Pelodiscus sinensis: one gene and its partners. Each later gene encodes a partner of the first gene's protein in a complex. Links are inferred from orthologs where the notes say so. Each region holds a gene or a part of one and is shown on either strand. Other genes may lie near its edges.

Region 1 (7,024 bases):
CCTTTCAGCTATATTGTTTTATCTGTTTCATAATGCAGACTCTAGCATGTCAATACTGCTGATCCGGACTACTGCAACAAACCCAGGCCAATGGAGCTCAGCCAGTGCAGGTTATTAAGCAGAATGCAAGCTGAATACAGAACCTCATCTGAGAGGATGAGTGCAATCTCATCAGTTCATGTTTGGCAGAGTTACAATCAATCCTACGTGAAAATTTAAGTGGTAGGGATTTTTTTGGATGGGCTCAGACAAACAAGCACTGCATTTCTCACTTAAGTAGGATATGAAATTTGTTGCTGCAACGTTACAACTATGGTTTCTCTTTTTAGAGTGCTGAATATTGATTAAAGTTACATTACTCAGTAGCATTAAGCAGACCAGTCTTATAATGAGAAGTTAAAACTGCTTCAATACAAATAAGGCTCTTACTTGCTAGATAAAAATTACTTCATCTAAAAACAGTCACCTCTGCAATCCCTTTTACTGAACCCAAAAAAAAAGCAATGATGAGATAGGAAAAGCCTACATTCAACTATTCAGGTTTTCTGCATTTTATTAAAGCGATGAGGAGTCCTGTGGCACCTTATAGACTAACTGAAGTGTAGGAGCATAAGCTTTCGTGGGCCAAGACCCACTTCGTCAGATGCATGTAGTGGCCACTACATGCATCTGACGAAGTGGGTCTTGGCCCACGAAAGCTTATGCTCCTACACTTCAGTTAGTCTATAAGGTGCCACAGGACTCCTCATCGCTTTTGCAGATTCAGACTAACACGGCTACCCCTCTGATACTTGACACCATGCAATGCATTTTATTAGTTTCCTTGAAATTATGTTACCGGTTGCACATTGTTTAGCCTCAATATGGCATATTTCTACTAAGTGTTATAATTTGGATTTACATCACAGCACTGCTTGTTGCATAAGCAGACTGAATCAGCAGTAATTTAAATATCCGATTTTCAATCTAACTATACTGAAATATTCACTGTAGGGACAATTTTTACTATCTAAGTATTTTAACTACTATTCATCTGATGAAAGACCATGAAAGCTCATGAGCTTACATAAGGCCGTGGCATCCAAACAGTTCTGAAGCAGTAGGCACTATAGTGGCTATTTGCTATAGCAAACAAGCCACACTCAACCAACCAAATAGCCACAAGCCACACTCAACCAACCAAATAGCCACATATAGCTAGCAACAAGCATGTTGGACAGCCAGGTCTAAGGTGCCATAGGACTACTTGTTTTTAAAGTTACAGACTAACACAGCTACCGCTAAGAATTTTAACTGTATTGTGTCATACAGAAGTTACTGTTTATTGCAATCTGGAAATGCAAGACTTTCTTTAGATTTTAGCTTCATATTTGAGATTTACACTTTTTCCCTACATGAGAATGTTTTCTGGAAAGGAACATTATCAGGTTTATGCTTGTTAAGGTGACAGTATCAAGTTTTCTTGTCTATTCAGTCTACATGCACAACTACAATGACACTGAGTAGTTATTTGTATGATCTATTTAGCTACACAACTTTAAGCATCACAAGACATTATCACACAATCAACTGTTTAAAATTAATCCTGGCATCTTGACATGATACTTATTTGGATCTAGTCAGCCAAAATTTAGTCATTTTAAGGTGCAACAAATGAAATAAAAATTAATGGTCTAGATACACAGGTTGTAGAAGCTTAAAATCATGATGCTGCATGATAGGATAGATGCATAGATTCTAGCTTATTCACTTTATGCACAGCTATTTGCATTAAGGTCAGTTTCACATTAATTTCAGTCCATCTTTCAAATACATGATTGTATCAATTTCAAAAACAGGACTTTATTGTCAGAAGTCTTACTTTAAAAAAAAAAGCACATATTATGGAGAGGAGACTTAAACAATAATGGAGATCAGTGTACTTCGTTAGTAAAAAAAGATAGATGTACTTGCAGTGTAGAACTTAGAAAAAAAAAAAAACAAGTTCGCCTCAGATAACCGGTGCCAACACAGTGACTAAGCAGAATGGTGCAGAGCCCAAATGTGACAGTGCTGAATCTGGTAAAGAGTCATTATACTATTATTATTATTTATTAAGGGATGTACTTCAATTACAGCACTGCGCTCACATTTTTATTGGCCCTCGCTGCTCAGCTCAACCACTTATGGTATCTTTAGCCAACTCTGTGCCCTGCAAAGCGGAGAGAGCCGGGGCTCTTCTGCATTTCTCAGAACCCCTGGGATCGCCATTAAGAAGAACGAGGAGGCCCTGTGGCACCCTGAACCCTAACACGTTTATTTGGACACCAGCTTCCGTGGGCTGGAGCCCACTTTGGCAGCTGCGTTAGTCTCCATTGTGAAACGTCGCGTGTCAGCCCCTTGTTTGGAGGGGGTCAGGCGCAGGGTCTGACAGGCCGCCACCCACCTTAAAGAAGTGCCCGGTGGGGCCCAGGGCAACGCACAACGCAGCCGAGAGCAGAGCGGGGCTTGTCCGCCTGCGAGGGTCTCAGAGGGGTCCTTCCACCGGGGCAGCACCCCCTCGAGGCACTGCACCCAGCCCAGGCCGGCCCTGCGTCCGGGGAAACCCGCGGGCCGCCGCCCCGCAAGCGGTACGGAGACCCCGCCCGTAAGGCGCTCCCCCACCCGCCCGCCTTGAGGTAAGGGGAGGATCCCCAGGCCGCAGCGCCTAGCAACCACCTGCTGTCACCTCCCCGCTTCCCTCCGCGCGGGGCCGGGCCTAGCTTCCCCAGGGCGGACGCTGCGGCCTTCACCGCCACTGGCCCCCCAGCCCCGCTCCCGGGACCGCCAGCCCCGCCGCGCCCCCGCTCGGGGAAGAGCCCTCAGCCCTGGCCCTCACCGCGGCACAGCGCCCGGCTCTGCGTCCCTCGGCGCGGACCGACCCCCCAGCGACAGCAGCTAGGGCCCGACTGCGGCGACGCCTTTTATACCGCGGGGCGGGGCGGGACTGCGGGAGGTGGAAGGCGAAGGACCCCGCCGCTGCCTCACAGACACAACCCGGAGGCGTCCGCGCAGATCGCCTGAACGGGCACGAGGAAATGGCACAGGGAGCCCGCCCGCAGGACACAACCGCCCTGCCCACCGCCACTTCGATGCAGGGAGGCGAGGGGTGAAGGGATGCCCAGCATGTAAACAGCCGGGCGGGGGAGATTAAGCAAGAGCCACGGCGTCTCTCAGGCAGAGGGTGTCTAACCAGAAAAGCCGCCTCACATGGCAACGGCAACAGGCTCATAATGGGTGGAGGGGGCTTATCCCAGCACGTGTGCGCTGCTAGCCCCCCCCAGTGATGTTGGCAGCTTTCAGGGCTAGGCCCCATGCCCAGCCTGCAGCTTTTCAACAGTCCTTTCCTCATCTACCAGGAGAGGGCGTGGCACAGACTCCCCTGGGGCAAAGCTCCCAGCTCTAGCACTAGCTCCTTCTACAGCCATAGCCAACTCTCTTTCCACATTAGCAAAATGGGAGTGATGAGCTGGCTTTGGTGGGATTCGTTTGTACCTGGGAAAACAAAAAGGAGTGCTGTGGCAACTGAACCCTGACAAGTTTATTTGGGCATAAGCTTCCATAAGCAGGACCCTACTTTGTCAAATGAGTTCCAGCCCAACAAAAGCTTGTGCCCAAATAAATGTGTTAGTCTTTAAGGTGCTATAGCACTGTTTTTTGTTATTAGTTTTTGCTACAACAGACTAACACAGTTGCCCTTCCAAAACTCCTGCCTGTCAGGCAGGGACGAAGTCTTCCTCTGAGTTTGTGCCTTGATCCTCATCTCTACATGCAAGCACTAGGGATGTAAGCGACTAGTCAACTATCAGATAACTAGCATGTCCACTCTTCGATAAGCTTTTGTTTGACTAGTCAGTCCCATCCCGTCCCCGTTTCCCCCCTCCCCCGCCCCGTTGCCTCTATCACAAAGAGAGAGCAAGGGGGGTAAGAAGGTGGAGTGCAGGGGAAGCCAGTTCGCTGCAGCTCTGTGGGAGGGGGCAGAGATGCAGCAGCAGCAGCCAATTTTGAAATGTACAAGAGTCACCATTGGGACTCTTGTATATTTCAAAGCAGAAGCACTGCATGGAGCCTGGGGGAGTCCAGGCTTCACACAGCATTTAAATATTTGAAATGTACAAGAATGTCTGCTGGGGCTCTTGTACATTTTAAAGGTGGAATGCAGTAGTCCTTAACTAATCGAATAGTCAATGGAAATCCCATTGACTATTTGATTAATTAATTAATTAATTGAAATTTAACATCCCTACCAAGCATTACAGCTAATCCTGATATATTCTGAAAATTATGTTTGCTGAAGGAGCATCGTAAAAAATCTCAGGCCAGCTTGGACTTGATTGGTGTTATTGTGGTACAACACTTCAGCCCCAGTACCTTTCAGAGGAACAGAACCTCCTGCTTCAAAAAGACCCCTACCAGTTGTGCTAAAGGGAAATCTTATCAGCTCTGTGAACTTCATTTTCAGAGATTTAGTCCTAAATTTCCCTACCTTCCCCACAAGTTGTCCCCCCCCCCTTTTTAGTTACAGGAGAAATAATAAAATTGGTGTTATAGCAAAGTTACTTGCAGCATAAAAGAACAAAACATGCAACTTTTTAATATTCCTGCATGAATAATTTTTGTGTCATTCATTTTGATTCTGAAACACACATTTATGTATCTTAAACTGGGAGGCTGCGTTGCTTTTGCGGAAAAACTTGCCAGCTGTCTACACTGGCCACTTTGAATTTGCACAAGAACACTGACAATCTAATGTAAGATTGTCAGTGTTCTTCAGCAAATACAATGACTCTCCCATTCAGGAAAAAGCCCTCTTGTGCAAATGCTTTTAACCGGCTGATAACCGTTTTGCGCAAAAAAGCCCCGATGGCGAAAATGGCGATCGGGGCTTTCTTGCACAAAACCGCATCTAGATTGGCACGGAAACTTTTCCGCAAAAAGTGCTTTTGCGCAAAAGCGACCATGCCGATCTAGACGCTCTTTTCCACAAATGCTTTTAACGGAAAAACTTTTTCCTAGACGTAGCCGGAGAGATGTGATTTTCATTAACTGTTAGCGGTATAGAGCCCATCATATAACACAGTTGAGAGGTTCTAATTCCATTCTGCAAAGGACAGGGTTACTCAAAAGATTTTGATTGTATAACTACACATTTTCCTATATGCCTCAGAAGGCTGAGTCAACTCTGCAAATATTCACATCTCTGCTTTCAAGGTACTGTACTTACCTATATGCACTAGGCGCATAACACAATGAAACTCGCAGTTGTCAATTTCTCCAAGCAAGCTAGGGATACCATTATTACTTGATGAAGGGCACTTGAGAGAAATAAGGCTATTAAAAACTTAATGTTGAGGGCTGAGGATATATTTGCTAAGCAGCAATTTAATCTAAAAGCTGTACTGACAGCTAAAATCCTCTTACATGAATGTGTTAATGCTGTTCATCATTACATTAAATCCTACCTCCAGAAGGGAAATGTCATGTGTCTACTGCAGCACTTGATTTCTCAAGAAAGTTGGCTCAGTGCCATCTTTTACAAACAAATGGCCAAGAGCCATTAGGCATCGTTCACAACATTAGTACTAGAATAAAACAAAACACTATTCAGAATAATCCTGCTTCACTTTAAGGGCTTTGTTGTATGGTACCTGTCTTCCTCTCAAACCCCCAGTGTGAGGTAAAATTTCAAAACAAGGGATACAAGAGAAACTTAAAATAATGAATTCATTCCCTATTACTTCAGTTTCCTGAGTCACCATTTCAGATGTAAACCCAATAAAACCTTACGTCACGCAACCATCCAACAGATTAGCAAAACTTTGGTCCTTAACTAAACAAAATTGTAATTGAGATTTTGAGGATAATGTAAAGTTATTGTTTAAGACAACAGTTTGATTAATCAAACTGGAAATGTAAAACCCAAATAGCTGGATAGCAGCTGCACACAAGTTGATGGGGCACACACTTAAATTTGGGCTTAAACTGGAAATCATTAATAATTTAAAATCCAAACCTCCAATGAGCTCCATACAGCTGAGTGAAATGCTGCCTCTGAGTGTAGTCCCACTGATGTCAATGTTGGAGTCTGCCAGCATGGAGCTCATAGCAGTATTAGGCCCAGAACCTCAAAGTACTTAGGCGTGGCTCTACTCAGCATTACACCACCTACCTCTGATGCAGTCTGCTGCCTAGTAGAAGCCTCATCCCCAAGCTAGGCGCCTCTGCTCCATATACAATGCAGGAGACAAGTTATTAGGGTTTCCAACATTCCTAACCAGACAGCATTCATGGCAATAGCATCCAATCTTTCCAGTTGGGAAAGCTGGCAACTTGTTCGGTGCCTAAGAAAGGGCTCCTCAAAAGCCAGCAAGCTGCCAGTGCACCTGACTGGTGAGTAAGAGATGCAACTCCCTCTGCTTGGAAGCTTCAACTAGAAACCCTTTCCTAGAGTTAAGCATCTAAACCAGATCACCTGCTTCAGTAGCTCAGGGCCTAACAGCCAAAAACACAGTCTTTGTCTCCTTCTCTCGCATGCTTTGCCTCATATGCTCACTCTGATACATTCCTGGAAATGTCACCACATTTTAAGTGATTAAAGCTTAATCTTTAATTCCTGGAGACTCCAGGACATAGGCATGGGGACAGAGCCTCCTTGCACCTAGGGGCTGCAGGGAGCTGGCAGTTGCTTCCTGGAAGCCACAGTAAGCACCAAGGGAACACCATAGCTTCCACACTTCAACCCTGTGCCCCTGCCCAGAGTCTCCTTCTGCACCCAAACTCCCTCCCAGAGCCTGTATCTCTCACCCCACCCTAGGCACCAACTCTGTGGCTGCTATAGGCTGGAGCCCCCATAGGAAAGATTAGCAGGTCTGGGGAGAAAAGGTGGAGGAGACAGCACAATGAGGGGAGGGGAGATGAAGCCACTGGGGGCAGGGCCTCACAGAAGGAAAAGGGCAAGTGTGTTCCATTTTGTGCCATTAGAGAGGTAGCAATCTTAGTTAGCAAC
Region 2 (7,147 bases), on another chromosome or scaffold:
CAGGTTATGCTGCAGAGTTCTGGGCAGGCTGTGGCCAGCACTAGGGATCAGGCCCCCCTGTACTCACCATGAGTGTAGGAGCTATGGGAAAGTAGAGCAACACAGCAGCCTGCTCTGCTCTACTGCCATTTCCTAAGCCCGGTGTGGGGCTAGAACATTCCACTTCCTGCTGCCATGGTGAAGCAAAGCAACCAGGCTAGACTGGTATATTGTGGCAGAAGCTGCTACATTACTCCACTTCTCTGCAGCTCCTACCACTATGGTGAGGGCCAGGGAAGAGGTTGTCCCCAGTAATCACTTAGGCTATGTCCCTGTGGGGAACAGGTGGGGTAGAGCAGCGACTGGACTTGGGAGAAGAGTACAGGAACCCCCCAGAGTCACAGGGATTCACACGCCAGCAGCCACGTGCAGGCCAGATTGTGCAACTGCTCAGGTCGCAAATGGCTCACGAGCTATGTGTTTGAGACTCCAGACCTACATAACCTCTTGACTGTCAGCCCTGATCTGGAAATCAGATATAGGAGCCCTGCTACCCTGCTGTCAGTCCCATCCTGAGTTCACCACTGGATCCTTGCCCTCCCAGCTCCCGCTGTCAGCCCCTGAGATGAAGGAATAAGGGACCTCCTCTTTCACTCCCCACAATGTTTCACTTTTATCCATACAAGCACTCTTCACGACAACATGCACCACGAGCAGTGGGGGGGCCAATGTGAACATGAAAAACAGCAATAATTATTGTGGTAGCCATATGTTAACCTGAAGTAGATCAATTTAATTCTGTGGAAAAGGAAGACTTGAGTTTGACTTATCCCTGAGTATCTGCATAGTGGGGTGGGAGGAGGGACATAAGAGGATACTATTTCTTGTCTACTGTTCAGAAAAAAAAAGGGGGGTCTGATCCTGCTCATACTCACTGCAACAGGATCAGCATTTGTCTCTATGTGAAATCTCTTACATGTGCCTATTAGAGTATTAACTTTATGTATTGATGTAAACATACCTACAAGCCTTAGTGAAGAAAAGCAGTAAACCTGAAGCGCAAAAGCAGGATTCCAGGGTATGTTTGTACTGGCTCATACACCTGTGATTCAGCCCAGGATCAAAGCTAACTCCTTAGGATCTACACTGCAGTTGTGCAATCCCAGTGCTTTGACACAGAAGCTGGAGTCAACCTGGGACCCAGCTTCTGAGCCCTACTGCTTTGCAGTGCAAATGCGCTCAAATTTGACTGAAGTCCTGAGAGCCATCTGGAAATACACCATAATTCCACTGAACAAGATTCCTTAGTCTTCCTTATCCCAATAATCTTTAATCCACCATTGAAAACGGAAGACTTTCACCTCCCACATACAGTTGGCAAAAGGCAGCAGCTCAAGTCAGCACTGAACCATTCTTTCTGACCACTGACCTGCAAGCACAAGTTCAGAGACCTCCGGAATTTGCAACAGAAAGCAATCTAATCACACCTTCTGCAAAATAAGCTTTTTCCTGGTAACAGAGCTGGCAGTAAAGTTTCCTACACTACCCAAGTCTAAGAATGAAAGCTTCCACCTTTTAGGGAACAGGCTACATGGTAGGTACTTTGGAAGCTTTAAATCAGATCTGTGTACTACAATGTGGATGCCAGAACCCTAGAATTTGAACCCAGATTAGAAAAAGCTTGTGGTAGGTGTTAAATATAATTCAGACACTCAATGCCAGGGTTCCTGAACATTAGTCAGCAAGCTCAAGTCCCACTAACCTTGGTCTAACGTTGCCTTGTCTCCTACCCCTGATGCAACAACCCAAATATCTCTATGCCCCATTAAACAGATCTCTATCCTGATTCCCTTGAAACCGAGTCAGCTGACACAGGTCATCCCCCTGGGTGTGTGGGTGCAGCGAGGAGACATACCCTGCATATCCATAGCCAGAGCCCCGCAAGGAAGAAAGGCGGCCCTTTCTCACCATCCTGACAGCTCCCTGAGCAGCACCACAGAGTCACTTTCAACTCTGGCTCCCTCTAAAGCCGCTTGCGAGGAATCACCGTCCCCGCGGCGGGGTCAGGCCCGCATCCAGACTCACCTTGAGCAGGATGGAGGGCGGTAGCTGGTTGATGTCGGAGGGAGGCGATAGCGGCGGCTCTCGGCAGCACTCGCTGTGGTTCTCGGGCGGCTCCTGTCGCTCCGGCTCGTTGCTTTCCTCCTCCTCCTCCTCGTACGGCGGGGGCAGCTCAGGAGCCGGAGCCAGCTCCCCCACGCCGCTGCTCTCCCCGGCCGGGCCCCTGAGCGGCGGCCCCCCAGCGCTGGCAGCGCGGTCGGTGGCACAGGGCAGGGGGCAGAGCTGCTGCTGCTCGCTCGGACACTGGCAGGCGGCGGCCTCCGGTTCCGGCGGGGCGGCGGCGCAGCGGGGCTGTTTGCAGGGAGGGCAGGCGGGCAGGCCGGCCCCTTTGCGCTTACACACCATGTCGGGGGCCGGCTCGCCGGGCGGCCGCGCTGAGCCCAGGAAGGCCCGCACGGGCGGGGGCAGCAGGCCCGACAGGAGCAGGCGCTGACACGGGCCCCGCTGCTCCCAGGCGCCGGGCGGGAGGTGCAGGAGGCGGCGGGCGGCGCGCTGCTCCGGGGAGCTGAGGGCCGCGCAGCGAGGCGAGTCCCGGCCGGGCAGGGGCTGCTCCGGGGCGGGCGTGCTGGCGCCGTGCACGATGAAGCAGAGCATGCAGGGCCCGCGCAGAAAGCAGCTCCGGCTGCGCTGCGGCACCTTTCTCCGGCGGCGGCGGCGGCGGCTCCTCTCCCCGCTCAGGCTGGTTCCCTCCCTCGAGAGCAGGTGGCCCATATAGGAGGCTCCGGAGCGGGGATTTGCGGGGGCCCGGCCGCCGTCCCCGGGCAGGTCCCTTCGCGGTGTCAGCTGCGGCGGGGGGCAGGGGCGGCGGGTGTCATGGGCCCGGTCGCTAGGCGGGGAGCGGGAGGTGGCGCCGGTTCTTCCGGGATATTGAACGGGGAGAAGCTTCCGCTACCGCCGCCCTGACCTTACCCAGAAGCCGCTCGCGGCCCGCCAAGAGGGGCCGCTCCGGCACTGGCGCTCTGCGGTGCTGCCGCCTACGGCCGGGCTGTGCTAGGGCCGCCAAGCCGCAACTCCGGCGGCCGCCCTCCCCGAGCCCAGCCACTCTGCTCCTACAGTACTTGCACTCTCCCCCTTCCTCCCCCCCCCCCCCCCCCCACACTCTGGGACAGCCCCACAGTCCTCTCACACACACACACAGCTCACAACAGCCCCCACTCCTTCCTCCTCACACAAACACAAGTGCCCTGCTTCTGCTCCCTCAGGCCACACAAAGGAACTTCTTTTAACACAAGCATATTGCTCCGTACTGCACCAAGGCTATGTCTAGACTGCAGGCTTCTTTCGAAAGAGGCTCTTTCGAAAGCATCTTTCGAAAGAGCCTCTTTCGAAAGATCGCGTCTAGACTGCAGGCGGATCTTTCGAAAGAGAAATCCGCTTTTTCAAAAGAGAGCACCCAGCGAGTCTGGATGCTCTCTTTCGAAGATGGCCTCTTTACATTGAAGAACGCCTTCTTTCAAAAGAGAAACTTTCGAAAGAAGGCGTTCTTCCTCGTAAATTGAGGTTTACCGCCATCGAAAGAAAAGCCGCATTCTTTCGAAATAATTTCGAAAGAACGCGGCTTGAGTCTGGACGCAGGGGAAGTTCTTTCGAAAAAAGGCTACTTTTTTCGAAAGAACCCCTGAGTCTGGACACGGCCCAAGAGACTACACACACTGCCATGGGTAGTGTTCGCTCACAACAGTCTGTGTCCCCCCCCCACAAATTGCCCCAAACATCCCCCAAGAGCTGCTTTCCAATATGGTAATCACCTCCAAGAACGGCTTCCCCAAGAATTTCAATCAGATTCAACATTTCAGGGATTACTATCCCTCCCTAACACCTAACAAAAGAACTGGCTTTTAAAATAGGCTCCCCAAAGTAACTAAATTACTGAGGAAAAACTACATTTCACAACACCGGACCAAATTCTCACACACAACTTGCACCACCACCCTGTTTTTCCTGTATACTGTACTGGACAATATGGCCCAGGACCTGGGTTGCTGGGCTGTTCTTCCCCTTGATTTCAGTCTAACCACAATCATGAGAATGTTCTGATTTTAAAAATACAGTGGAGTTGAGATACACACGAATAGCGTATTTTTTGGAATTTGGATAATGTTTTAACAATAGTTTATTGTAACATTTTTATCAGAAAGAATTGTGTAAAACCATTGAAAACAGACAACTATATGAGATCAATATTCTGGAAAAGATAGGGAGGATGTTAGATACCATGTAATTGAATAATTGTGTAACCACATCAATTTTTAGTCACTACATGACTGTTGGATTGGCTGCTGGCCCTGGCCCTGGCCCTGGCCCTGCCCCGAGGACTGTGTGCTCCAGACCCCACTCACAGGGAGCCCCCTGCCATCAGCAGGGGGCTGTAGGCAAGCCCAGGGCCCACTGCAGTCAGAGGCTGTTCCATAGCAGCCTCCCTTGCTTGCCCTCCTGCACCACTGCATCTGACAGAGGTAGCAGTGTGGGGGGAAAGGGAAGCAGACTCAATGCTCGTGGGAAGCCAGCTTTTTTAAGCCTGCTCCCCTTGAACACTGACTCCTGCCTTCCTCCCCCCACCTCATTGGGAGGCAGTAAGGTGGGGGGCAGGCAGCTCCATGGAGATGACATGTACGGAGAGCTGGCTTAAAAGTCAGCTCTCCATGGCTATGTCTACATTGGCAGGTTCTTGCACAAGAACTCTTGCACAAGAACACGTTCACACTGCCATGTGCTTTTGCGCAAGAACATCCATGGCAGTGTGGACGCTCTCTTGCACAAGAAAGCTCTGATGGCCAGTTTAGCCATAGGGCTTTCTTGCACAAGAAGCCCCGGCCGCGCATCCACACTGTCCTCTTGTGCAAGAGGGCTTACACTTGTTAGAAAAGAACATAGCTCTTGCACGGGAAGCCCTTTCTTCCAACACTGTACTGTAAATCTTCTTGTGCAAGAGCAGGCGGGCAGTGTGGACACTCTGTGGGTTCTTGCGCAAGAATGGCTGTTCTTGCGCAAGAACTCGCCAGTGTAGACATAGCCCATGTGTATCTGCTTCTACCATCCTCACTCCCTACCGCACCGGTCCCTCTGATATGGAGGCAGCAGCATAGGGGGACAGACAGCTCTGTGGGATCCAGTGTCACCACACCGTCCCACTGGCACCAGGTGCTGCCTTCCCCACCTTTGCTACCTCTGTGTGTGTAGTCAACGGAATTAACCAATAAGCCCAGCCTTATCTGTTAATCATGTGATCCTCTACACATTGACATCCCCCCCCAAAAAATCTTATTTAATAGATGAAAATGTTAACTGAAAAAATATCCCTTAATTGTGTTAAAAGTTTTAAAGACAAGCATACATTATGTTTATGTATAGGCCCACTTCCGCAGACAAGCAAGTAACTTGATTTATGTGAGTTGTTCCTATTGATTTAAGTGGAGTTAACAAGATGAATGAAGTTACACATGTAACATATATTTCAAAATCACACTTAGGATGACTACACAGCATCTTTTTTGTGCAAAAACTTCTTGCGCAAAAGGGATCCGAGGAGGAAATGCAAATGAGAATGTGACATATACAAATGAGGGCTCCATTTGCATTTCCTCTTGCAGAAGAGGCTGGTAGTGTAGATGTAGCCCCCGGTGTTTGGCTTCCCCCAAACTCTATGTCCCCTCTTTAGATTTTTTCCCCCAAACTCTAAATGTTCCAGCTGACTTCTTTTGGGTTTAATGCTTTTAACAGTTTGGTCTACAAGAAACAGATTGTATAATTGGTCTCTCTTTAGGTCCCTGCAAAGACACAAGTGGTTACATTTAAGTCTTAAAATTTATCCACAGGGCTCAGTGTTAATGGCAGTTTTGAGCTGAGCTTGTGTCTAAGCATTTGCTAGATTACTGCCTTAATAACTTTAATAAAATACCCCAAAGTGCCTTAGTTTTTAAACAATATGGGGCAAAAATTTGCTCTTTGTTACAGTGTATAAATTGGATTGCTCTTCATTTACATCATGTTCAAATAAGAGGAGAATTTTGCCCTTCACTAAGAGGGAAAAAACAGATTTTAATTAAAAATATATGATCCTATTGAGAATACCTATTATCAATAACAACTTTTTATGTTGGGATTACATGATCAATGACACATTATATTTTTGTTTTCTACATATATTTCCAATGCTGTCTTTAACAGCACAAGATAAGGTATGTTGCATCTTAAAGAAAAACATCCATATGAGAGAATTTAATCTGAATCTGTAAAACATTACAATTCATTTAAAAATTCAAATAGAAATTAATGTCAGATTTGGCATAGTTTTTCCCTTGATGTTCCAGATGTCCACTTATCATGGGTGTGACCAAGTTTCTCCACGGTCCTGTAAAGTTTGTTTACAGCCACTGCTCCAGGATTTTAGTGTTCTGTGCCGTTATTTAGATCTCATTTATCCCTAAATGTGTTCTAAGCAGTGGAAGTGTTAGTAATGTTGTTAGACATTATTGAGCTCCCATAGTTCAGCAAATTTTCTGGTTCAGCATCAGTCAGGTCTGGAGGGTGCCAGATTAGAGAGGTTCAACCCATAGTAACCTTTGCTTAAAGTCAAACACAGTGATTAGTTGCACCTACTAAGAATCAAGAGGTGGATGGGCACAAGCCTGCCCATGCATAAAGGTGATGAGCGATTAGTTGCAGCTCATGGTAGGAATGCTCTAAAAGCATGAAGTTCCTCTATCTTCTTTCTTCTCTTCTTATCTGGTATTTTTCCCAACACTTCTCATAATTTTTGTAACCCGTTTCTGGATATTGTTTTTTTCTGCTGTATCCTTTTCAACATAGAATGACTAGTCCTGAACACCAAACAGTGTTCAAGAAGTGAAACTCTTTTTCCTTTCTGGATATAGTTTATTTAGATCGTAGCACTTTGTGTGAGTAATTTAAGTACCTTCCAATTTGTTACATTACATTTGTTAACAGTAACTTTAATTTGGCATCCTGCTGTAAATTGCCTATCTTTGTCTGGCATTCCTTGTAACCACATTGTTCATCCAATTTTTCTGATCATTAACTTGGGTTT
Region 3 (7,850 bases), on another chromosome or scaffold:
AGCCATGGCACATTCCTCTAGTCAATTACATATGGCGAGGGCTTTTTTTTTTTTTTTTTTTTTTAAACTCCCAAGGATATTTTGACACCCCCTATCTTTTTCACCTCTTCCATAAACTTGACAAAAATACAGGAACTGGCAAAAGAATTCAATGACCTGGACTACAGATGTATGTGACTAGTCGACTACCCAATAAATGCTTCTCAAGCAGTGGAGTAGGAATTTGACTAGTTGCTTCTCCCCCTCCATTGCTGCCTCTATCAGAGAGGGGCAGTAAGGAGGGGGGGAGCAAGAGCCAGCACTGGGGGAGCCAGGTTAAAAGCCATTTCCCACCCCTGCACCCTCTCCACAGGGGGCAGCGGGGAAACAGTGCAAGTGACGATTTAAACTGTCCCATTAGCGCTGGTCCTTTCCCTTTGGACTGTACAAGAGCTGCCTGTGACTCTTGTATATTTCAAAGGAAGAGGCACAGAGGGGAACCCACACCAGCTGGGATTTCTTTGCTCTCTGCTACCTCTCTCTCTTTGAAATGTACAAGAGTCATGGGCGGCTCTTGGACATTTCAAAGGGAGAGGCGCAGTAGGATAGCAAGTGCCCCCCTTATCGACTAATCGAGTAGTCGATGGAAATTCCATTGTCTCCTCAATTATCTGATTAACTTGAAATGTAACATTCCTAATCTGGACATAAGAGATTTAAAAATATGTACCAATTATACAAGATTAAAAAAAAAGAAGCTAATCAACAATTTAGAATTTCTACCGACTTTTGAAATGCAAAGGAAAGCCAAGATTTGTATCTGGTGTTTCAATATTTCCATACTGGGCATACATTCTAAAAGCTTAGCTGTATTTTATGTTCTTTATGAGCACAGATTTAATTCTGTGCCAGTGAAAGCATTAATTCACAACAAATAAACTTCCAACAAATGTTGCCAGTCACTTGAAATGTATTCTTAGAAGCAAAACAGTTTAGAGCGTCTAAAATTAGTATTAAACTAAAGCTGGCATCACTCTCTGCTTTAGTTTCTTGATGCTATTTTTCCAATCAAACAACTTAGAAATATAAACAATGATAAAGGAGGAATATAATTGTCGTCTCACTCGGTGTATTACCCCAAATCTAAAAAAGCCAGTCACATTTGAAAACTCGTCTGGCTACTGATAGCCAAAGCTATTTTCTGTGCCACAGGCCAATTTATAACCCAAGACAATGTAAAGGCTCTTTGCATCCTCTCTATTAACAAGGATGTAATAGAGCAGGCAGATGTAACAGGGTAAAATGTCACTATGTATATTTCCATACCCAGGCTAAAAAGGGGCTTAAGAAAAAAAGACTACGGAGAGCAGATGTGCACCCCAAATACTCTACGCAGAACCAAAACCTCACCTCGCACCAATACTTCGTTGATCATCTCTTACCACCACTCAGGCCAGAAATCTTGTTTAGAATCTCTACAGTTCTCTGATGGTCCTAAACATACCTTCAGATCCCCAACTGCCACATCTGCAGGTCCCTCCCTGATCCCCAGCACAAGGTTTCTCGTCCACATGCTCTTGCGCCCAAATCCAAGCATTTAAGCCCACCTCCTAAAAAACTCTATGCTCATCAACTAGCATCCGCCAGTGCAGCCAAAAGATACCCCAAGCCCTGCCCACACTGTACAAAGATCTCACTGTGACTTTACAAAGGCTCAGGTGCCTTCCCCCACCCCCATCCCAGCACTCACCCTTGCTCCAAGGTCCCTGCCTCTCACACTCCAGAACTTGCCTTCTTCCTGACTCTGCACCCTGGCTGATTTCCCCACCTAATGCTATCCTAAGTGCCCCCTGCTCTCGCACTCCCCAACCCGTTTCTCTCCTATCAGAGTCCTTTGAGAGTCTCAATACCCTGCGACACCCATCCCCATGACCAACTTCCCCAGGCCCTCCCGCACCATCGCTCTGGCACTCGCATCGCTCAGAACCCCCCATGCCTTGTTCTCCAGCCCTGAATCTCCCACCCGCTGGTAACCCCCCACCCTAGCACTCACCTATCCCGCAGATGCCTGCTCCCCCAAGCACCCCCTCCCCCTGCCAGCAGCCCCCCCATCTGTGACTCGACAGGTACCGCTCCCCCAGCTCTCCCCATAGGGCCGTGCTCCCCCACCACTTGACCCTCTCTCGGCATTCCCATAGAGCAGCACCCTCTCCCCCCCGGCGTCCTGCTCCCCCATCTCTCCCCCCCCCCGGCACTCCCGTAGAGCAGCGCCCTCCCCCCCCCCCTGGTGTCCTGCTCCCCATCTCCCCCCCCCGGCACTCCCGTAGAGCAGCGCCCTCCCCCCCCCCGGTGTCCTGCTCCCCCATCTCCCCCCCCCCGGCACTCCCGTAGAGCAGCGCCCTTCCCCCCCCGGTGTCCTGCTCCCCCATCTCTCCCCCCCCCCGGCACTCCCGTAGAGCAGCGCCCTCCCCCCCCCCGGTGTCCTGCTCCCCATCTCCCCCCCCCCCCGGCACTCCCGTAGAGCAGCGCCCTCCCCCCCCCGGCGTCCTGCTCCCCCATCTCTCCCCCCCCGGCACTCCCGTAGAGCAGCGCCCTCCCCCCCCCGGCGTCCTGCTCCCCCATCTCTCCCCCCCCGGCACTCCCGTAGAGCAGCGCCCTCCCCCCCCCGGCGTCCTGCTCCCCCATCTCCCCCCCCCCCGGCACTCCCGTAGAGCAGCGCCCTCCCCCCCCCGGTGTCCTGCTCCCCCATCTCCCCCCCCCCCGGCACTCCCGTAGAGCAGCCCCCCCCCGCACAGCGCGCCCCTCCCCCTCGCCGCCCCCCCGCGCTCCGGCCCCGCAGGCGGCTCACCATGAACTTCAGGGCCTTGTCCTGCAGCACGGCCTCGGCCGGCTCCATAGTCCCGCCCCGCCGGGGCCAGGGCCGGGGCCGCCCAGTCCCTCAGTGGCAGGCCGCAGCCAGCGCAGGCAGGAACCGCCGCTTCCCCCCGGCAGGGCGCGCGCGCCGCCCGCAGGCCCACGGGAAATGTAGTCCCCGGCCGCGGCCCCGGCAAGCGCCCGGGCGGCCCGGAAGCACTACACCTCCCGGCATGCCGCGCGGCCGCGGGCCCTGTCGGCCGCAGAGCAGCTGTGCGCATGGCAGGCTGCTGGCGGGGGGCGCGCGGGGGCCGATGGGAGTTGTAGTCTGCGCGGGGCGGTAGGCGGGGAAGGAGCAGGAGCACTGCCAGGACTCCCATGCGCCCAGCTGATCGGCCACTGGCCGGCCGGCTCCTGGAGTCGCGTGATTAGAATCGCAGCCCCTCCGCAGGGCATCAAGTCAGGTGCACGCGGGGCAGCCTGGCCCCAGCCAGGGCAGGGGGGGGGGCAGTAGTTTTTGATGGGAGGGGGCACTCCAAGAATTTGGAAAGTCGGTCGAGGGCTGCATCTTCCATGCTCTGACCGGAGGGGTGCAGGGCGTGGGATGGAGGGCGGGCGCAGGAGGGGGCTATGACCTGGGACAGGAGAGGTGCAAGAGGTGGTGCAGGAGAGGATTCTGACCAGGAGGAAGGATGGAGGCAGCGGTGCAGGATCTGGGAGGCGGTTGTGATCTAGAGCGGGAGTGCAAGGATTTGGGTTGTAACTGGGGGTGGGGATGAGGGTGCAAGGTCTGGAAGGGGATTGTGACCTGGAGGAGGGGTGCAGGAGGGGATATGGGTGCAGGATCAGTGGTGCAGAGGATTTGGGTTATGTGGGACAGGAGTGCAGGAAGGACGGGGGGTAGAGGACTGGGGGAAAGAAGAGGCTGGGTGCCAGAGGCAGGCTTCGGCTGGGAGACACTTACCTGAACAATTCCTGGCCAACAGCCCTGCCCAGCAGGTTTCTCAGCCAGGCTCCCTGCCTTCCATGCCCCCACAAGCTGCTCAAAGCAGAAGCTGCTCTAAACATTGTGAGCCCGGGAGAGGGGTACTTTGCGTGCTGCCGGTCCTGAGAACAGGCAGCTCCCATTGGCCAGAAACCAGCCTATGGGAGCTGTGAGATTGTGCTGGGGCAGGGGCAGGATGAGAAGCCTCTCCCCAGGTTCACAGCAGTCACATAAGCATAGAGCTAGCTTACTTCTTTGAGCAGCGTGCAGGAGTGGGGCAGGTAGGGATCCAGTGGCCGCTCATGAGCTGTATTTTAACTGCCCCTGATCTAGAGCACAGGGCAACCCTTGCCTTTTTTTTTTTTAAGGACGTTTCTCTGATGGGTGCAGAGGAAGCTTACGAGTGGGACAGCTGTAGCTTGGCAGCTCTTGCACCAGCCCAACGTTTGTTGTGTGATTTCACCAGGTCCAACCCCCAACGTTTTGATGCTCCCGAGTTAGCAATTCCCCCTTGTCCTCGCTGCCTGCACTGCGCTAACACCTAGAACTGCCAGTGGGGGTGGTGCCTGTTACGCTAGGCGCTGTACAGACACGGAACAAAGAGCTGGTCCCTGCCCCAAACAGCTTGCAATCTACAGCCAGCAGGTAGTTCCGCCAGACCAGCGAGGAGTGGAAGGAAGTGCCGAAAGGTTGGAGTGCTGGACGGCCGTCTCGCGACACCGTAGGTGCGAGAGGTGGTAAAGGAGACAACCGCTTGTTTGAAAATGTTACCTGGTGGGTGACAAAGGCTCCAGGCATTGGCAAAGCAGAGGCAGGAGGAGTGGGGGGGGGGGGGTGGTTACAGATGGGGTGGACATAGACCACAAAGGGCCTTGCAAAGGAAAGCAAGTAACTCCTGCTGCGGGGAGGAAGTGTCTGCAAGTGACCCCGTGTGGCACTGGTGGAGACACAGCGACCCTGTTCCATGGCTGGACGGGTAGAGTTCATGGGAGCACCATTTGCTTTAGGGTGGGGAGGGATGCATGCTCCATCCTTTGTAGCTCCTTCCTGGCCTTGCTGCAGGGTCTTCCCTGGGCCTGGGGAGGCTACTGGAGCAGGCCTAGGTTCCTAAAGTGCCACATTATCAGCTCCATCCCTATTTCCCACTGGCTGGGCAGGAAGCTGCATCCTGCCATGGCAGCCCCAGAGCAGACCACAGAGGGAGCTAGGTCCTGATCTCTGCCCCAGGATAGGACCAGGCTGTCTCCTCCCTGCATCCCCTCAGAGATGGGACCAGACCACTAACCCATCACAGCCAGTTCCATGCCCGACTTTTTCCAAAAAAGATGCCCCTGCATGAGAGGGATGGTTAAGGCCCTACAGGTGTGTTGTGGTGCCAAACCACAGAGGATTTCATGGCAGCACAGGGCACCCCACAGCCATTGAGAACGTCACTGCATCAGCCTGGCTAGAACCAGATCCTTATCATCTCAGCTAAATGGGAATCTCCCCCGGTTGCTGAACGGTATAGGACCTATGACACACATGGGAGCAGCTGTCAACATAGCGAATGCAGGCACATCGCTATGATGGGAAGTGACGCACATACTGCTGCACCACGGTCATGCGCTGATGAAACCCTTGTGAGAATTTCACACACTTGTGTTTGCACCAGTACAAGCCACGTGGCTCGTGTCTACACAGGGCCACGCTGCAGCCGTGTAAGTGTGGCGAGGTGTAAGGAGATCTGGAGTCCTGATGCAGGCTCACTGACTGGAGGGGGATTATCATGGCAGATTGTGGGAGACAGGCTGACTTGTGAGGGAATTTGGGGAGCAGACATCACCCACTCCTCATCCCATATCATAAGTGTTTATGAGATGGTTCGATTGCAGAGTGGGGATGGAGTTGCTTGTGTGTTAAAGCTATATTGGCAAAAAAGATCTCTTGGCACTGGAAAAGGTTCAGCAAAGGGCGATAAAAATGATGAGGGGTTTGGAACAGGTCCCATATGAAGAGAGATTAAAAAGACTGGGACTTTTCATCTTAGAGAAGAAGAGACTTAGGGGGGATATGCTAGAGGTCTATAGAATCGTGAGTGGTGTGGAAAAAGTGAAAGGAAAAATTATTTACTTATTCCCACAATGTAAGAACTAGGGGTCACCCAATGAAATGAATGGGCAGCAGGTTTAAAACAAACCAAAGGACGTTTTTCTTCACTCAGCGCACACTCAACCTGTGGAACTCCTCGCCAGAGGATGTGGTGAAGACCAGGACTTTAACCAGGTTCAAAAAAGAGCTATATAGATTCATGGAAGTTAGGTCATCAAGGCTGTTAGCCAGGCTGGGTAGGAATGGTGTCCCTAAGCTTCTGTTTCTTCGGAGGTGGGGGACGGGGAGGGATCAGGTAAGGATTACTGTTGTGTTCCCTCCCTCTGGGGTATCTGGTATTGGCCGCTGTTGACAGACAGGACACTGGGCTAGATGGACCGTTGGTCTGACCCAGTCTGGCCATTCTTATGAACATTGCCCCCAAAGAGCTTTACTCAGGGAGAGAGAAAAAAGCAGAGGCAATTGTTAACGTCTTGTGTGCTTCATTTGCAATGGGCTTGCCGCATTAGAGCCCAGCACTGCTAGGCATGGTAGCTCAGAACCCCCAGCCAGCAGCTACAGCTCTCCAGCTACCCACCTTAGAAGGCAGCACCATCACTGGCACCAATGCAGAAGGGTAGCAATACGCTGCCCCATGCCATCTGTTCTATGCTGCTACTGGCGACGGCGCTGCCTTCACAGCTTGGGAATTCAGCTGCCATTTACAGCGTTGTATCTATGGGAAAATGCATTCCAAGTTCCAAACAAATGGCTTACAGACGAACTTTTGGAACACACCCCGTTCGTAAATTGGGAACTCCCGGTATATAAATCGCTGGCTGGCTCACACCTGGAATATTGCGTGCAGTTCCAGTTGCCCTCTCTGAAAAACGATATATTCATATGGGGAAATGTACAGAGAAGGGGGAGAAAAAAAGATCAGGGAATGGAACAGCTTCCATAGCAGGAGAGATTAAAAAGACTCAAGACTTTTCCGCTTTAGAAAGAAAACAGTGAAGGCAAAGTTATGAGAGAGGTCTATAAAATCAGGAATGGTGCGGAGAAAGTGAATAGGGAAGTGTTATTGACTTCACAGAACACAAGAACCTGGGGTCGCCCAATGAATTAATAGGCAGCACTTTCAAACCAAAAAAAAAAAAAAAAAAAGGAAGTATTTCTTCACACAATATGCAGTCAACTTGTGGAACTCCTTGCTGGGGGATATTGTGAAGGCCAAAAGTATAAGTGGGTTCAAAAGACGACTAGATAAATGCATGGAGGATGGGTCCATCGATGGCTACTAGCCAAGACCATCAGGGAGTCAACCCCATGCTCTGGATGTCTTAAGCCCTTAACTGCCAGAAGCTGGGAAAGGGGATGGTAATTGCCCTGTTCTGTTCATTCCCTCTGAGGCCCCACCCTGCCCCTTCTGATTAAGGCCCCACCCCTTCTGGGAGCACGAAACCTCCCCACACACACACTTTGCCCAGGGCCCAAGCAAATTCTGTCGACCCCGCAACAGCATGATAGACCGTGGTCTCGGTACCTGATTTAAGCACCCTGAGTTATGCAGAGGAAATGGATTCACCCCTCCTTTCCCATCCTGTCTCCTGACCCAATAAGATCACACCCTGCAAATCTGAAACAAATGCCTTTTTACAGCGCGATTTGGATCAAAGGTCCTGCGGGCTTTTCCCACCCCAGCAGGGGTGTCCCGGCCAAACCTCTCCGGACAGCGGTTATCGAGGGGATCCCATTTTCTGTCCGGAGTGGCTGAGCTCTGCACGGGTGGCTGCATTTTGTGCCGAGCCTCGTGCCAGGTGCCGAGTTTGGGTAGATGAAAGATGCGGCCTCCCCATACAGTTACCACAGGGATCATTTCTGTGCCGTCTTATTGCTTCGTGCCTGGCAGCCCACGTCCGCGGTACGGCTCCGGATTAATGCGGCGGCAATCATTAACTGG

The links. Proteins that work in one complex are often made in the same cells at the same time.
Region 2: the proteins of SKP1 (region 1) and FBXL17 are in contact, whole or in part, in a crystal structure (PDB 6W66), measured with the Homo sapiens proteins. The link is inferred for Pelodiscus sinensis from reciprocal best matches to the Homo sapiens genes SKP1 and FBXL17. Residues at the interface, in NP_733779.1 of Homo sapiens: Lys78, Glu79, Lys80, Arg81, Gln97, Gly98, Phe101, Ile104, Leu105, Asn108, Leu116, Asp117, Cys120, Lys121, Val123, Ala124, Ile127, Lys128, Gly129, Lys130, Thr131, Pro132, Ile135, Arg136, Phe139, Asn140, Ile141, Lys142, Asn143, Asp144; in NP_001156787.2 of Homo sapiens: Pro319, Asp320, Ile321, Asn322, Leu324, Pro325, Ile328, Lys331, Ile332, Phe333, Ser334, Asn335, Leu336, Leu338, Asp339, Glu340, Cys342, Leu343, Ser344, Ser346, Leu347, Val348, Cys349, Lys350, Trp352, Arg353, Gln364, Arg370, Gln371, Val373.
Region 3: the proteins of SKP1 (region 1) and BTRC are in contact, whole or in part, in a crystal structure (PDB 1P22), measured with the Homo sapiens proteins. The link is inferred for Pelodiscus sinensis from reciprocal best matches to the Homo sapiens genes SKP1 and BTRC. Residues at the interface, in NP_733779.1 of Homo sapiens: Asn51, Ala53, Ile54, Val95, Asp96, Gln97, Gly98, Thr99, Leu100, Phe101, Ile104, Leu105, Asn108, Leu116, Asp117, Cys120, Lys121, Val123, Ala124, Ile127, Lys128, Gly129, Pro132, Ile135, Arg136, Lys137, Thr138, Phe139, Asn140, Ile141; in NP_378663.1 of Homo sapiens: Met175, Leu176, Gln177, Arg178, Asp179, Phe180, Ala183, Leu184, Arg187, Leu189, His191, Ile192, Ile196, Leu197, Tyr199, Leu200, Asp201, Ser204, Cys206, Ala207, Ala208, Glu209, Leu210, Val211, Cys212, Lys213, Glu214, Trp215, Tyr216, Arg269.

Annotation. Positions count from the first base shown.
Region 1 is NC_134727.1:28,118,365-28,125,388, forward strand, and holds the start of SKP1 (S-phase kinase-associated protein 1), read right to left. Parts: upstream 3,018-7,024; 5' UTR 2,858-3,017; intron 2,570-2,857; exon of another isoform or gene 2,426-2,569; intron 1-2,425. UniProt on the Homo sapiens protein: Essential component of the SCF (SKP1-CUL1-F-box protein) ubiquitin ligase complex, which mediates the ubiquitination of proteins involved in cell cycle progression, signal transduction and transcription.
Region 2 is NC_134716.1:63,827,310-63,834,456, reverse strand, and holds the start of FBXL17 (F-box/LRR-repeat protein 17), read right to left. Parts: upstream 3,006-7,147; 5' UTR 2,812-3,005; coding exon 2,065-2,811; intron 1-2,064. UniProt on the Homo sapiens protein: Substrate-recognition component of the SCF(FBXL17) E3 ubiquitin ligase complex, a key component of a quality control pathway required to ensure functional dimerization of BTB domain-containing proteins (dimerization quality control, DQC).
Region 3 is NC_134718.1:73,920,207-73,928,056, reverse strand, and holds the start of BTRC (F-box/WD repeat-containing protein 1A), read right to left. Parts: upstream 3,006-7,850; 5' UTR 2,876-3,005; coding exon 2,828-2,875; intron 1-2,827. UniProt on the Homo sapiens protein: Substrate recognition component of a SCF (SKP1-CUL1-F-box protein) E3 ubiquitin-protein ligase complex which mediates the ubiquitination and subsequent proteasomal degradation of target proteins. Recognizes and binds to phosphorylated target proteins.